Linked DNA regions of Saccharomyces cerevisiae S288C. The protein of the gene in region 1 binds, or shares a complex with, the protein of each later gene. Each region holds a gene or a part of one and is shown on either strand. Other genes may lie near its edges. A codon is read from its position in the direction of its gene.

What was found. The genes of interacting proteins can lie anywhere in the genome.
Region 2: the proteins of HDA3 (region 1) and HDA2 are in contact, whole or in part, in a cryo-EM structure (PDB 6Z6O), measured with the Saccharomyces cerevisiae proteins. Residues at the interface, in NP_015505.1 of Saccharomyces cerevisiae: Tyr129 (codon at 2,084), Glu130 (codon at 2,081), Lys170 (codon at 1,961), Asn172 (codon at 1,955), Asp173 (codon at 1,952), Phe188 (codon at 1,907), Pro192 (codon at 1,895), Lys196 (codon at 1,883), Arg198 (codon at 1,877), Lys214 (codon at 1,829), Tyr218 (codon at 1,817), Gln221 (codon at 1,808), Lys223 (codon at 1,802), Arg224 (codon at 1,799), Glu225 (codon at 1,796), Lys227 (codon at 1,790); in NP_010581.3 of Saccharomyces cerevisiae: Thr62 (codon at 1,997), His63 (codon at 2,000), Gln72 (codon at 2,027), Asp93 (codon at 2,090), His94 (codon at 2,093), Tyr95 (codon at 2,096), Arg98 (codon at 2,105), Thr171 (codon at 2,324), His245 (codon at 2,546), Lys247 (codon at 2,552), His248 (codon at 2,555), Asp249 (codon at 2,558), Ile414 (codon at 3,053), Lys415 (codon at 3,056), Gln418 (codon at 3,065), Lys605 (codon at 3,626), Phe606 (codon at 3,629).

Annotation. Positions count from the first base shown.
Region 1 is NC_001148.4:893,297-899,700, forward strand, and holds HDA3 (Hda3p), read right to left. Parts: upstream 2,469-6,404; coding exon 501-2,468; downstream 1-500. Other genes in the region: U4/U6-U5 snRNP complex subunit PRP4, read left to right, coding at 1-433; E1 ubiquitin-activating protein AOS1, read left to right, coding at 2,665-3,708; GTPase-activating protein SEC23, read right to left, coding at 4,065-6,371. UniProt on the Saccharomyces cerevisiae protein: Required for activity of HDA1 histone deacetylase complex. The HDA1 histone deacetylase complex is responsible for the deacetylation of lysine residues on the N-terminal part of the core histones (H2A, H2B, H3 and H4).
Region 2 is NC_001136.10:1,050,086-1,056,460, reverse strand, and holds HDA2 (Hda2p), read left to right. Parts: upstream 1-1,813; coding exon 1,814-3,838; downstream 3,839-6,375. Other genes in the region: mitochondrial 54S ribosomal protein mL67 MHR1, read right to left, coding at 569-1,249; sphinganine-1-phosphate aldolase DPL1, read left to right, coding at 4,233-6,002. UniProt on the Saccharomyces cerevisiae protein: Required for activity of HDA1 histone deacetylase complex. The HDA1 histone deacetylase complex is responsible for the deacetylation of lysine residues on the N-terminal part of the core histones (H2A, H2B, H3 and H4).

The sequences.
Region 1 (6,404 bases):
TTGTAGCGGTGGCATGGACTCGCTTTCAATGCTATGGGATATAAGATCCGGAAGTAAGGTGATGACACTCGCAGGACACTCAAAGCCTATTTACACCGTAGCTTGGTCACCAAACGGGTATCAAGTAGCCACTGGTGGTGGTGATGGAATCATTAATGTTTGGGACATCAGAAAACGGGATGAAGGCCAACTAAATCAAATATTGGCGCATCGTAACATCGTTACGCAGGTAAGGTTTTCAAAGGAAGACGGCGGAAAGAAACTTGTCTCTTGTGGCTATGATAATTTGATCAATGTGTATAGTAGTGATACGTGGTTAAAAATGGGAAGTTTAGCAGGCCACACTGATAAAATTATTAGCTTGGATATTTCGAATAATTCTCATTTTTTAGTGAGCGGCGGATGGGATAGGTCTATCAAGCTCTGGAATTGATTGTGTAAAGAAATGTATTTAGTATTTTTGAAACTAACGTTTTATTAACACTGCATTATTTATTTAATTATACATTTCCTGGTTTTTTTGCCCTGGATTTTTTTTTTGTGTTACCATTTTGAGTACGAACTCGTGGAATTGTTAAGTTTTCCAAGTTGTCCATCGTCTTCGATAACTGTCCCACTAACTCCTCGTTTAGATCATTCTCAAGCTTTAATTCCTTTTTCAAAAAGCCAATTTTCTCATTCAATTCTTTTGTAGAGATTTCAGACTTTTCGAATTTCAATTTCAACTCACTTTCTAATCCATTTTGTTTCTCATTAAGTTTGTGTGTCTCCTCCTCATTTTCCCTTATAGCATCAACGGCTCTTTTGATTTCTTGTTCCATATATTTCTTCTCAGTATCCCTTGATACACTTACCCTTTCTTCTTTCTCGATCTCGTCTTGTACATTGTCTGTTTTAACGAAAGCGTCTTTTAACTTTGATAATGTTTCACCTTGGGCCATCAAACTTCCCTTTAAAGTTTCAATGTCTTTTTCCAGTGTTTCGATTTGGGAAAACTTCAAATTGTTTTCAACTTCTAGTTCATGCGACCTATTTAAGTTTTCATTATTGGTTCGCAATACGGTTTCATATTCTTTTATAATTTTCTCATCTTCATTTGAGAAAAATTTCAGATGATCATTTTGCAAATCATCAAGGCAAGAATAATCATCCAGCTCCTGTTTCTGAACGCAAATATCCATATACACTTCTCCCATTGATTGAATCAGTTTGTGTGTTATGATTCCACTTGATAAGTGGTAATTTACATTCGAGGAGTTGTCAGCTGTAGTAATACCTGTTAGTTGTGTCATGTCTTGTTTTAAAGGATTTGTATAATAATCGTTCTTTAATCTTTTGGTAGAGTAAAAACTTGGAGTAATATTATCCTCAATTCCGGCAACAGTTGAAGATGCTGCCTTATTAGCACCATGGCGTCCTCTTTTTTTGGAACAGTTGGAAAAAGCATCCTCTAGTTGATCATCTGACTTTTTGAAATGTACTTCCGTTAACAAAGACCTTTCTACATCCATGGAAGTATATTGTTTTAAAGGGTAAATATCTGGTAATGGCCACGGTACTGTTGGGTTTTCCAACCATTCTACTAAATAATGCAGCTTTTGTGAATAAATGGGCCTCAAATCAGGTGGAAGTGTGCCCAGTCGATCTCTTAAAATTACCATAGCTGCGGTAACGTTCTCCAAGTATTCTCTACTGTTCTTGTCAAATTTTTTACCAAAGAATAACCTACAATGATCAATTGAATTAATGGCCACTAGCCTAACAATTGGAGCATATCTTTCTAAACCCTTCCTCTCCCTCTTATATTGCAACAAATATTGAATATCTTTTTGACTTGTATCCACTGTAGTATCTAAGCAGATCAGCATGTCGAATCGAGCCTTGGATTTTATCGGATATTTTGTGAAATTAATTCCTTCAGAAGAAAACAAATGAACTGTACACGAGAAGTCATTTGCCTTTTGTTTTGACTTGATAGAATGACCGTCATATCTTTTGATATGCACCTTATTTCCCAATAGTAAGGCTTCCAGTAAGTCCATTGTTCTCCCAGGTCTACAAACAATGGCCGTTTCAGTTTCATATTCTTGAACAAGATTTATGAGATCTCTCAAAACGCTGAACTTTCCACTATTTTCCGCTAAATGTGCAGGAACATCACGAGTTATTAACGATTTAGGCATATAATGATCTATTAGTAGGTATGGATGGGTTGCTACCAGTGAACCATTTAAACACATGGTCTTCATAGATTCGAGAATGACGTCCTCTTTGTAGTGTGACGTTTCGAAGTATCTCAAGATATCTGAGTAGTGTAATGATACTATTTGATCCGTGAGTTCTTTTTGATAAAGCGACATTGTAGTTGGCAGCCAATAATCACCGGAAGTATTTCCTGAGATTCCCAGAGTAGTAGCATCAACAATTGTAGGTATTGGTTTCGTGTCTAAAATGCGTAGTAAATCCATACTAAAGGGCAATTAGTTTGTGCTTCTAACTTTCCTTTTTATCATTTTTATAGTCTAAAGTATTTCTTCTCTCTATTGTCTTTAATTGAAACTTTGGAAAACCGCGGTGTTATGGATACTAGAACACTAATGTTATTTTTTGCAGTTATCAATTAAAGTAAAAGAAGAACAAACTGAGTGGATTAAATCAGTAACTATGGATATGAAAGTAGAAAAATTAAGTGAAGATGAAATTGCACTGTATGATAGACAGATTCGTCTATGGGGAATGACAGCACAGGCCAATATGAGATCAGCAAAAGTATTGCTGATCAATCTTGGAGCAATTGGTTCTGAAATTACCAAAAGTATCGTCCTTAGTGGTATAGGGCATTTAACCATATTGGATGGACACATGGTGACTGAAGAAGATTTAGGATCCCAGTTCTTCATAGGCTCTGAAGATGTTGGCCAATGGAAGATTGATGCAACAAAAGAGAGAATTCAAGACTTGAACCCCCGTATAGAGTTGAACTTTGATAAGCAGGATTTGCAAGAAAAGGACGAAGAGTTCTTTCAGCAGTTTGATTTAGTCGTGGCTACAGAAATGCAGATTGATGAAGCAATCAAAATTAACACATTAACTCGAAAACTAAACATTCCATTATATGTTGCTGGTTCTAATGGATTGTTCGCTTATGTTTTTATTGATTTGATTGAATTCATTTCAGAGGATGAAAAATTGCAAAGTGTAAGACCTACCACCGTTGGTCCCATTTCAAGCAATAGGAGCATTATAGAAGTTACTACTAGAAAAGATGAAGAAGATGAAAAAAAAACATATGAACGAATCAAGACCAAGAACTGCTATAGGCCACTGAACGAAGTTTTAAGCACAGCAACATTAAAGGAAAAAATGACGCAAAGACAGTTAAAAAGAGTCACTAGTATCTTGCCGTTAACCCTGTCCTTATTGCAATATGGTCTCAACCAAAAGGGCAAGGCCATAAGCTTTGAACAAATGAAAAGAGATGCGGCCGTATGGTGTGAAAATCTGGGTGTACCAGCAACAGTGGTAAAGGACGATTACATACAACAGTTTATCAAACAGAAAGGTATCGAGTTTGCTCCTGTCGCGGCCATTATAGGGGGTGCTGTAGCGCAGGATGTCATTAACATTCTAGGTAAAAGGCTATCTCCATTAAATAATTTCATTGTTTTTGATGGTATTACATTAGACATGCCACTTTTTGAGTTTTAGATATATACATACCTACTATACTGTAGTTTCAGCCAAAAAAAATAATAAAAAAAGCATAATTGGAGGCAGTAAAGCATTATAGTCATACACAATAATAATAATAATAATAATAATAATAATAATAATAATAGTAGTAGTAGTAATGGTAATAAAAAAGTTAGAAAAGAAATTAGATACAGATATTCGTAGTAAAGGCCACGCAGTACAAAAAAGACGGAGAATATATTATATAAAATCCTCTACTCTTTTCGTTCAGGTCCAAAGGAAAATTCTTGCACGCGCAATGGACTGAACAGGCCTTATATTATACAAAAAGCCTAATAACGATCAAATAAAACAAAAGAAAGCCGTTGCTCCTATGCCTGACCAGAGACGGCTACTTGTTGTAAGTGAGTCATGAAATTTTGTAAGGAAACATCATCTGTTAAGACAATTGTAGATCCTCCGCGCGCCATGTCTTGATAGTTATCGGAAGGATTCAATTTAGATAACAAGAATCTGGCTTGAGAACCACCGGCTTCAGTATCAATGAATCTTGGTAGCGGGAACCTATCTACTAACAATTCTGCGGCTTCTAATTTTGGCTCTTCAAGAAGAGCTTTGAAATCTGCGTACTGTGGATCGTCTTGGTAACCGGCTTTTCTCCATTGAGCGATTTGCTCACCGTGGTATATTAAGATGAAGAAAAATGTATCTAATAATAGAATGGTATTGGGTTTGACGGAGATAGAGTCTAATAATACCGGTTGTGGATCGTCCTCCATTGAGAAAGAAGTTAGAGTTGGTTGAATCATGATTAAAGAATTAGTCGTATCCTCTCTTGTGAAAATATGTCTATAAAATGCAGTTTCATCCGGAGAATTGTTAAAGACACTTAAGAATTGGGATCTTCTTAAATAATAGGTAAATTGAGGATACAGTGAGAAATTTGGAGCCAACCTGAAAGATTGAGGATCATCTTTATTATAGTCGGCGTACTTTTGACATAGCTTAATCAAAGTTCTGTCTAACCATCTAATAACATCTGCACCATCATCGGTTTCAGCCTTGTGAACAGCAATACGAGCCATCAAAACGGCAGCAGCTTCTTGATCGAAAGAAGCTGCAATGGCAGGAGTACCGAAGGGCAAAAGCTGGTTTGCGACCGTGGTGACTCTGATACGGTTGGTACCAGAGGAGTGTTGATAAGTAGTGATGAATTGAGTATATGCTAGATGAGGTCTATCTGCTGAACCAGGGGCAGACATCATTGGGTTAGAATTAGCCGCAGTGTTTGCAATTTCAAAGAAAATCGCATACGAGTGATAAGGCGATAAGGAAGCCATCTTCCAGGTGGACGTTGCACCTATACCGATTTCAGATTCACTGATGTTGTTAGCGTCTGTCTTCTTTACAGCAGAAGCATGCCCAATCAAACCTTGTACCTTCAAGTCTTTACTTGTCTTGACTGCCATATTACCATTGAAAGCCATCTTCAAATACCCTTCTTCATCCTTGGCAAACAATCTCAAGTATGATTGCTTAAAAATCGCGGTAGAGAAGGCATCGGTTAGCAACAACACACCTCCAGTAGAGTCGGTCAACTGTTTCATTTCAGACATACCGATTTGATCGTAACAACCGGCAAAAATATCAACAGTGTGTCCATTGGCGGCAACTCTTTGTGCAATCTGGTTGTAAAACTTACAGGCCTTCTTGTAATGTTGCGCGTGATCAGAATCGATGTCGTGGTGGGATCTTAAGGGATCTTTTAACTCTGAGTTAACAATCAAACCTGGGGCCACGGTGCCTGGACCGGAGGCGAAAAGAATGATTCTTGCTGGGATGTTCTTATAGCAGCCCTGTAAAAGCAAAGATGCAATGTTCAAAGCGGAACCTGTGGCCCTTAATGGCCTATGACCCGCTGGAACAGACCATTGGTCTGGAGACAGATTTTCCAGTAATTGATTCAGTTTGAACTCGACCTGTTCCAAGGGCAGGAAGAACCTATTCAAAGAGAAGGGCGTAACTTTGTTCATGGCGTTCGGTAGATGAGATGCAGCACCGCCGGGGCCGGTAGGCTTTTGGCCGGTCAACATTTCCGTCAACGCTTCGAGCTGGTACTCCCTGTCTCCTCTGAACACGTTGCACCTGTCAATAGTTTCGCTGGACAGATCGTGCAATTGAACAACGTTTCCGTAAGTGATCAACCCAATCAGCGCGTTGGGAGGTAATAGAGACAAAGAAGTGATGATAGACTCCTTTAGCGAATCGAGGTTCTCGGTTTCCGAAGTCAAATCCACAACAAAGAAGAAAATGGGAGGAACGGTAACGGGCTTATTGGTGATGTACTCAATGGTGGTGGACTGTAACTCTAGCGGCATATTCTCCTGTGACAAGTTGGTGTACTGTGGAGGTAAATGGTTCCTGGAGTTACAGATGGGACAACTCCAGGACGAATTGCGCGGATCAATCACACAGTAAGGATTTAGAATCGACTTACAGTGTGGACCGGAACACACAACTGGATTGTATGGGGCAACGTTCAATTCGTCATACTCCTTCAAAGGTGTGTACAAACAGCCCACAGGGACGACGTTGCTGTTAGCGTCGCTTCTAGTAGAGGGAAACACGTTCCAGGTGAAACGGACCCCGTTGATGTCTTCATTAGTCTCGAAGTCCATGGCTAGAAAAGAGGAAGGGGAGGCAGGCGACAG
Region 2 (6,375 bases), on another chromosome or scaffold:
CAAGGGAATAGAAGATATGTAAATCGTTACTTCTTTTATAATCCCAAAACACGAAACGAAAAATGCGGCAACAACAGCGCAGCAGGATGAAGAAAGAGTGAAATAAATCAAGACAATAGCAAACAAGAAATTTTTAGTAACCCAAAAAGAAATTTTTCTGTGAAAATTGGTGCGGAAAGACTAAGAAAAACCGCAGAAGCCGGAGAAAAGCGCGACTGCCCGAAGAAGGACGCGGGGTGAGGGAATAAGACAATAGGAAACAGGAGGTCGAAAAGCTTATTAAGCTGTGCAAGTGAAAAAGATAGAGAAATGACGATAAGGTGAGGAGGATAAAACGCGTTTCAAGTCACACAACAGCAGCAGTAGCAGCGGCAGCAGCAGCAGCGGCAGTAATAAAGACTAGCCCTGTGTATTCCTGTTTTGACCTATCTTCTTTTTGCGGATACCCGCACAGCACGTGTTTTTCCGTGGAACGGGATTTGGCAGAAAGGTTTGCATTGCACTATTTACATGAGCTTATATATGTTTTTTTTTCTACCTGCATTTGTATATCTAATGACGAAGCGTTCTACTGGGAAGACACTTCCGTCTGCTCTGTAGGATGTGATTCGAGCTTAGCTAGTTCCTTCAGAATAACGCTTTCTTCCCTCGCAATGTTCCCCACACGCTGAATAAGCTTGTGTTCCAGCCCCAGAGCATTGAACACATCGTAATTCCAATGTTTGTCCTTGTCACCCATCCTCCATGGGTCCTCCCAGTATATGGACGGTTTTTTGGCGGGTACTGTCTGCTTTTCTGCTGGTGTGGCATTCTCAAACACCTTCAACAAGGACTCCCGCAAGTCTGCCACTGCCTCTTGACAATATGTAGGTCTATACTGTCCGCTATACCAGACGTGCCCGTTAGAGTCCTTTTTTCTTAGCTTGTCACTCTCCTTACGCTGTGCCACATCACGGAGGTATCTCAACCGGCAGAGGTTCTGGTATAGATGGACACTCTGCTTATAGTTTTGCAAGTTCACTACACACATACATTTCCAGATGTCCCTTCTCAATGATGGCTTTCTGTTGCTCCAGTTTGGTCTCACAAACAGCTTATCCACCTGTGTTTGCGAAAAGTTGGGAAATTGAGAATATAGTACTTGTCCATACTCTAGGTTCCTAAAGATGTATACCTGGGGTGGGATTATCTTTGTCTTTTCGAACCATGAAGCGGGGCGGAATCTTGAAATTGAATGGTTTACCTTCATGCTTTTGCCCTGAAATATCGATTTTTCCGTCGCTGTTTCTCTATTTATTCCTCACAGGATCTCCTCTTTCCGTTTCCTCTACATTTCATCATATAGCCTTACTTTCACTTTTTCCTTTAGTATCTGAATATCGGAAAAGAGAATATTGTAGGAAATGTATTTTTCCCGTCTACCGTACAAAATGAGTCGTTAACTTGACAGGAATCATCAACTTTATGCACGTCTGAAATTTAACCGTGGCGTATATGGTTCATTGCTTACACGAATGTCTCCTAGTTTATATTTCCTGAGAAAGTTCTCTACAGCCCAAATAAATAGTTATATAGATATATAAGAAAAGCGACAACAAAAGAAAAAAAAAAAATACAGTCCTACTAAAATAACATAATTGCGGCACAGAAGAGTAACCACAACTAGTAGAACATCGAGAAAGGAGAGGTAACAAAAAATTTTTTTTTTTAAAAAGACAGAATTGAGAACGATTGAAGGCGTTTAAGTAGTAGTAAAAGTATTTGGCTTCATTAGTGTGTGAAAAATAAAGAAAATAGATACAATACTATCGACATGAGTAGGAAAAATTCTAAGAAACTAAAAGTCTATTACTTACCTGTAACGCTAACCCAATTTCAAAAGGATTTATCAGAAATTTTGATATCCCTGCACGCCAAGTCATTCAAAGCAAGCATAATAGGAGAACCACAGGCAGATGCAGTGAACAAGCCTTCCGGCTTACCTGCTGGCCCTGAAACACATCCGTATCCAACGCTATCACAAAGGCAATTAACCTATATCTTTGATTCAAACATAAGAGCAATAGCCAATCATCCTTCCCTTCTAGTGGACCATTATATGCCTCGACAGCTTTTGAGAATGGAGCCCACGGAAAGCTCTATTGCTGGGAGCCACAAGTTTCAAGTTCTCAACCAGCTCATTAATTCGATATGCTTTAGAGACAGAGAGGGCTCACCAAACGAAGTTATAAAATGTGCCATCATCGCACACAGCATAAAGGAATTAGATTTGCTAGAAGGTTTAATATTAGGCAAGAAATTCAGAACCAAGAGACTTTCCGGTACATCTCTTTATAATGAGAAACACAAATTCCCTAATCTACCTACGGTCGATTCCACAATAAATAAAGATGGAACACCAAATTCTGTAAGCAGCACAAGCTCTAATTCCAATTCGACCTCTTATACAGGTTATTCTAAGGACGACTATGATTACTCAGTGAAAAGAAACCTGAAAAAAAGAAAAATAAATACGGATGACTGGCTGTTTTTAGCCACTACCAAACATCTCAAACACGATCAATACCTATTGGCTAACTATGATATAGATATGATAATTAGTTTTGATCCAATGTTGGAAGTTGAATTGCCCGCTTTGCAGGTACTGAGGAATAATGCCAATAAGGATATTCCGATAATAAAGCTATTAGTACAAAATTCTCCAGATCATTACTTGTTAGATTCTGAAATCAAGAATTCAAGTGTTAAATCGTCGCATTTGAGCAATAACGGTCATGTCGATGATAGCCAAGAATATGAAGAGATCAAATCCTCCTTACTATATTTTTTGCAAGCAAGGAATGCTCCGGTGAACAACTGTGAGATTGATTATATTAAATTGGTAAAGTGTTGTTTAGAGGGGAAAGATTGCAATAACATTTTACCGGTTTTGGATTTGATAACGTTAGATGAGGCCTCCAAAGATTCGAGCGATTCTGGGTTTTGGCAGCCTCAATTAACAAAATTGCAATATTCGTCTACAGAATTGCCCCTTTGGGACGGACCATTGGATATCAAAACCTACCAAACAGAGTTAATGCATAGAGCCGTCATAAGATTGCGAGATATACAGGACGAGTATGCCAAAGGCACTGTTCCACTGTACGAGAAACGATTAAACGAAACTCAACGGCAGAACCAGTTGGACGAAATAAAGAATTCTGTTGGTCTTACATTCAAGAAAAAACAAGAAGTGGAAAAATCCATTAATGACTCTGAAAAAAGGTTGAAGCATGCGATGACAGAATCTACCAAGCTACAAAATAAAATAAATCACTTACTGAAAAATAGGCAGGAACTAGAGAATTTCAACAAATTGCCCTCGAATACTATTTCATCAGAAAATCATCTGGAAGAGGGATCTGCCTTAGCAGACAAGTTGAAGGAATACATAGACAAAAATGCGACTCTTTTTAATAAGTTAAAGGAACTCCAACAAGCAAATGCGGAAAAATCAAAGCTCAATGATGAACTACGTTCCAAATATCAAATAGAATCTTCAAAAGCCGCAGAGTCCGCGCAAACATTGAAAATTTTGCAAGAATCAATGAAGTCTTTAGAAAACGAAGTTAATGGTCCACTGACTAAATTTTCCACAGAAAGCTTGAAGAAGGAGCTGGAACGTTTACAGAATGATTTTCAGTCGCTTAAAGCAAGAAACAAATTCTTAAAGAATTACATAACCTTAATGAACCGACAGTACGACTTAAAAAACAAAAACAACGTCCAGGTGGAAAAAGCTGCCGCAAATGGTACACGGTTTAGATCAACAAGATCCAATACCCCTAATTACACATGAATGTGACGTTTCCTAAAAGAAGTAGCCTGTATAATATAGAGAGATTTTATATACTTTCTTAATGAATTAGACTGTTTCTACAAGTATTTGACACTGGAAAAAAAGAGAAAGTACATAGAGATTGGCCAAATATTTAAATCTACACAGTTGCCTATCGTTTATCGCCTTATTCTTCAGAAACATTTCATCAACTACTCTGGTGCATTATTTCATGTTAGTTACCATATATACCGGCCGGCCGCATCGGGGTTTTTTGATTGAAAAAATTGGTATATTTTCAGTACACATATAAATAAAACCCTCAATTTGCCTCTCCAACCGTTATAACTATTCCAGATCCTCTTTACCGAGCAAGTAGGCTAGCTTCTGTAAAGGGATTTTTCCATCTAATACAATGAGTGGAGTATCAAATAAAACAGTATCAATTAATGGTTGGTATGGCATGCCAATTCATTTACTAAGGGAAGAAGGCGACTTTGCCCAGTTTATGATTCTAACCATCAACGAATTAAAAATAGCCATACATGGTTACCTCAGAAATACCCCATGGTACAACATGTTGAAGGATTATTTGTTTGTGATCTTTTGTTACAAGCTAATAAGTAATTTTTTTTATCTGTTGAAAGTTTATGGGCCGGTGAGGTTAGCAGTGAGAACATACGAGCATAGTTCCAGAAGATTGTTTCGTTGGTTATTGGACTCACCATTTTTGAGGGGTACCGTAGAAAAGGAAGTCACAAAGGTCAAACAATCGATCGAAGACGAACTAATTAGATCGGACTCTCAGTTAATGAATTTCCCACAGTTGCCATCCAATGGGATACCTCAGGATGATGTTATTGAAGAGCTAAATAAATTGAACGACTTGATACCACATACCCAATGGAAGGAAGGAAAGGTCTCTGGTGCCGTTTACCACGGTGGTGATGATTTGATCCACTTACAAACAATCGCATACGAAAAATATTGCGTTGCCAATCAATTACATCCCGATGTCTTTCCTGCCGTACGTAAAATGGAATCCGAAGTGGTTTCTATGGTTTTAAGAATGTTTAATGCCCCTTCTGATACAGGTTGTGGTACCACAACTTCAGGTGGTACAGAATCCTTGCTTTTAGCATGTCTGAGCGCTAAAATGTATGCCCTTCATCATCGTGGAATCACCGAACCAGAAATAATTGCTCCCGTAACTGCACATGCTGGGTTTGACAAAGCTGCTTATTACTTTGGCATGAAGCTACGCCACGTGGAGCTAGATCCAACGACATATCAAGTGGACCTGGGAAAAGTGAAAAAATTCATCAATAAGAACACAATTTTACTGGTCGGTTCCGCTCCAAACTTTCCTCATGGTATTGCCGATGATATTGAAGGATTGGGTAAAATAGCACAAAAATATAAACTTCCTTTACACGTCGACAGTTGTCTAGGTTCCTTTATTGTTTCATTTATGGAAAAGGCTGGTTACAAAAATCTGCCATTACTTGACTTTAGAGTCCCGGGAGTCACCTCAATATCATGTGACACTCATAAATATGGATTTGCACCAAAAGGCTCGTCAGTTATAATGTATAGAAACAGCGACTTACGAATGCATCAGTATTACGTAAATCCTGCTTGGACTGGCGGGTTATATGGCTCTCCTACATTAGCAGGGTCCAGGCCTGGTGCTATTGTCGTAGGTTGTTGGGCCACTATGGTCAACATGGGTGAAAATGGGTACATTGAGTCGTGCCAAGAAATAGTCGGTGCAGCAATGAAGTTTAAAAAATACATCCAGGAAAACATTCCAGACCTGAATATAATGGGCAACCCTAGATATTCAGTCATTTCATTTTCTTCAAAGACCTTGAACATACACGAACTATCTGACAGGTTGTCCAAGAAAGGCTGGCATTTCAATGCCCTACAAAAGCCGGTTGCACTACACATGGCCTTCACGAGATTGAGCGCTCATGTTGTGGATGAGATCTGCGACATTTTACGTACTACCGTGCAAGAGTTGAAGAGCGAATCAAATTCTAAACCATCCCCAGACGGAACTAGCGCTCTATATGGTGTCGCCGGGAGCGTTAAAACTGCTGGCGTTGCAGACAAATTGATTGTGGGATTCCTAGACGCATTATACAAGTTGGGTCCAGGAGAGGATACCGCCACCAAGTAGCTATATAGAATCAAATCTCATACATAATTTAAAGAACGAGAGTGCAATGTGATGATTGTGATTCCTGATCCTATGTCACGGACGACGACTTGTATCACCTTGAATTTTCTGACCAAAGGGGCCGAGTCGCTTCACGAGGGGATGAGAAAGGAAAAGAAGGGAAAACTAAACTTATATAACGCAGGTGTGTCTTTCTACCATTGCCATCAAGTTATTAAAGGCCACGAACAGGAACGCTAGAGACCTGAGTTTGTCATTTGTTTAGTTCAAGGATTAAATAAACAATCCTTCTACAAATAAGTCCTTTCTTTCACCATCGTCTTAAGACCACTGCCTCCAACGAAAACTAACCTAAAAGAGTTTAGATCACGAG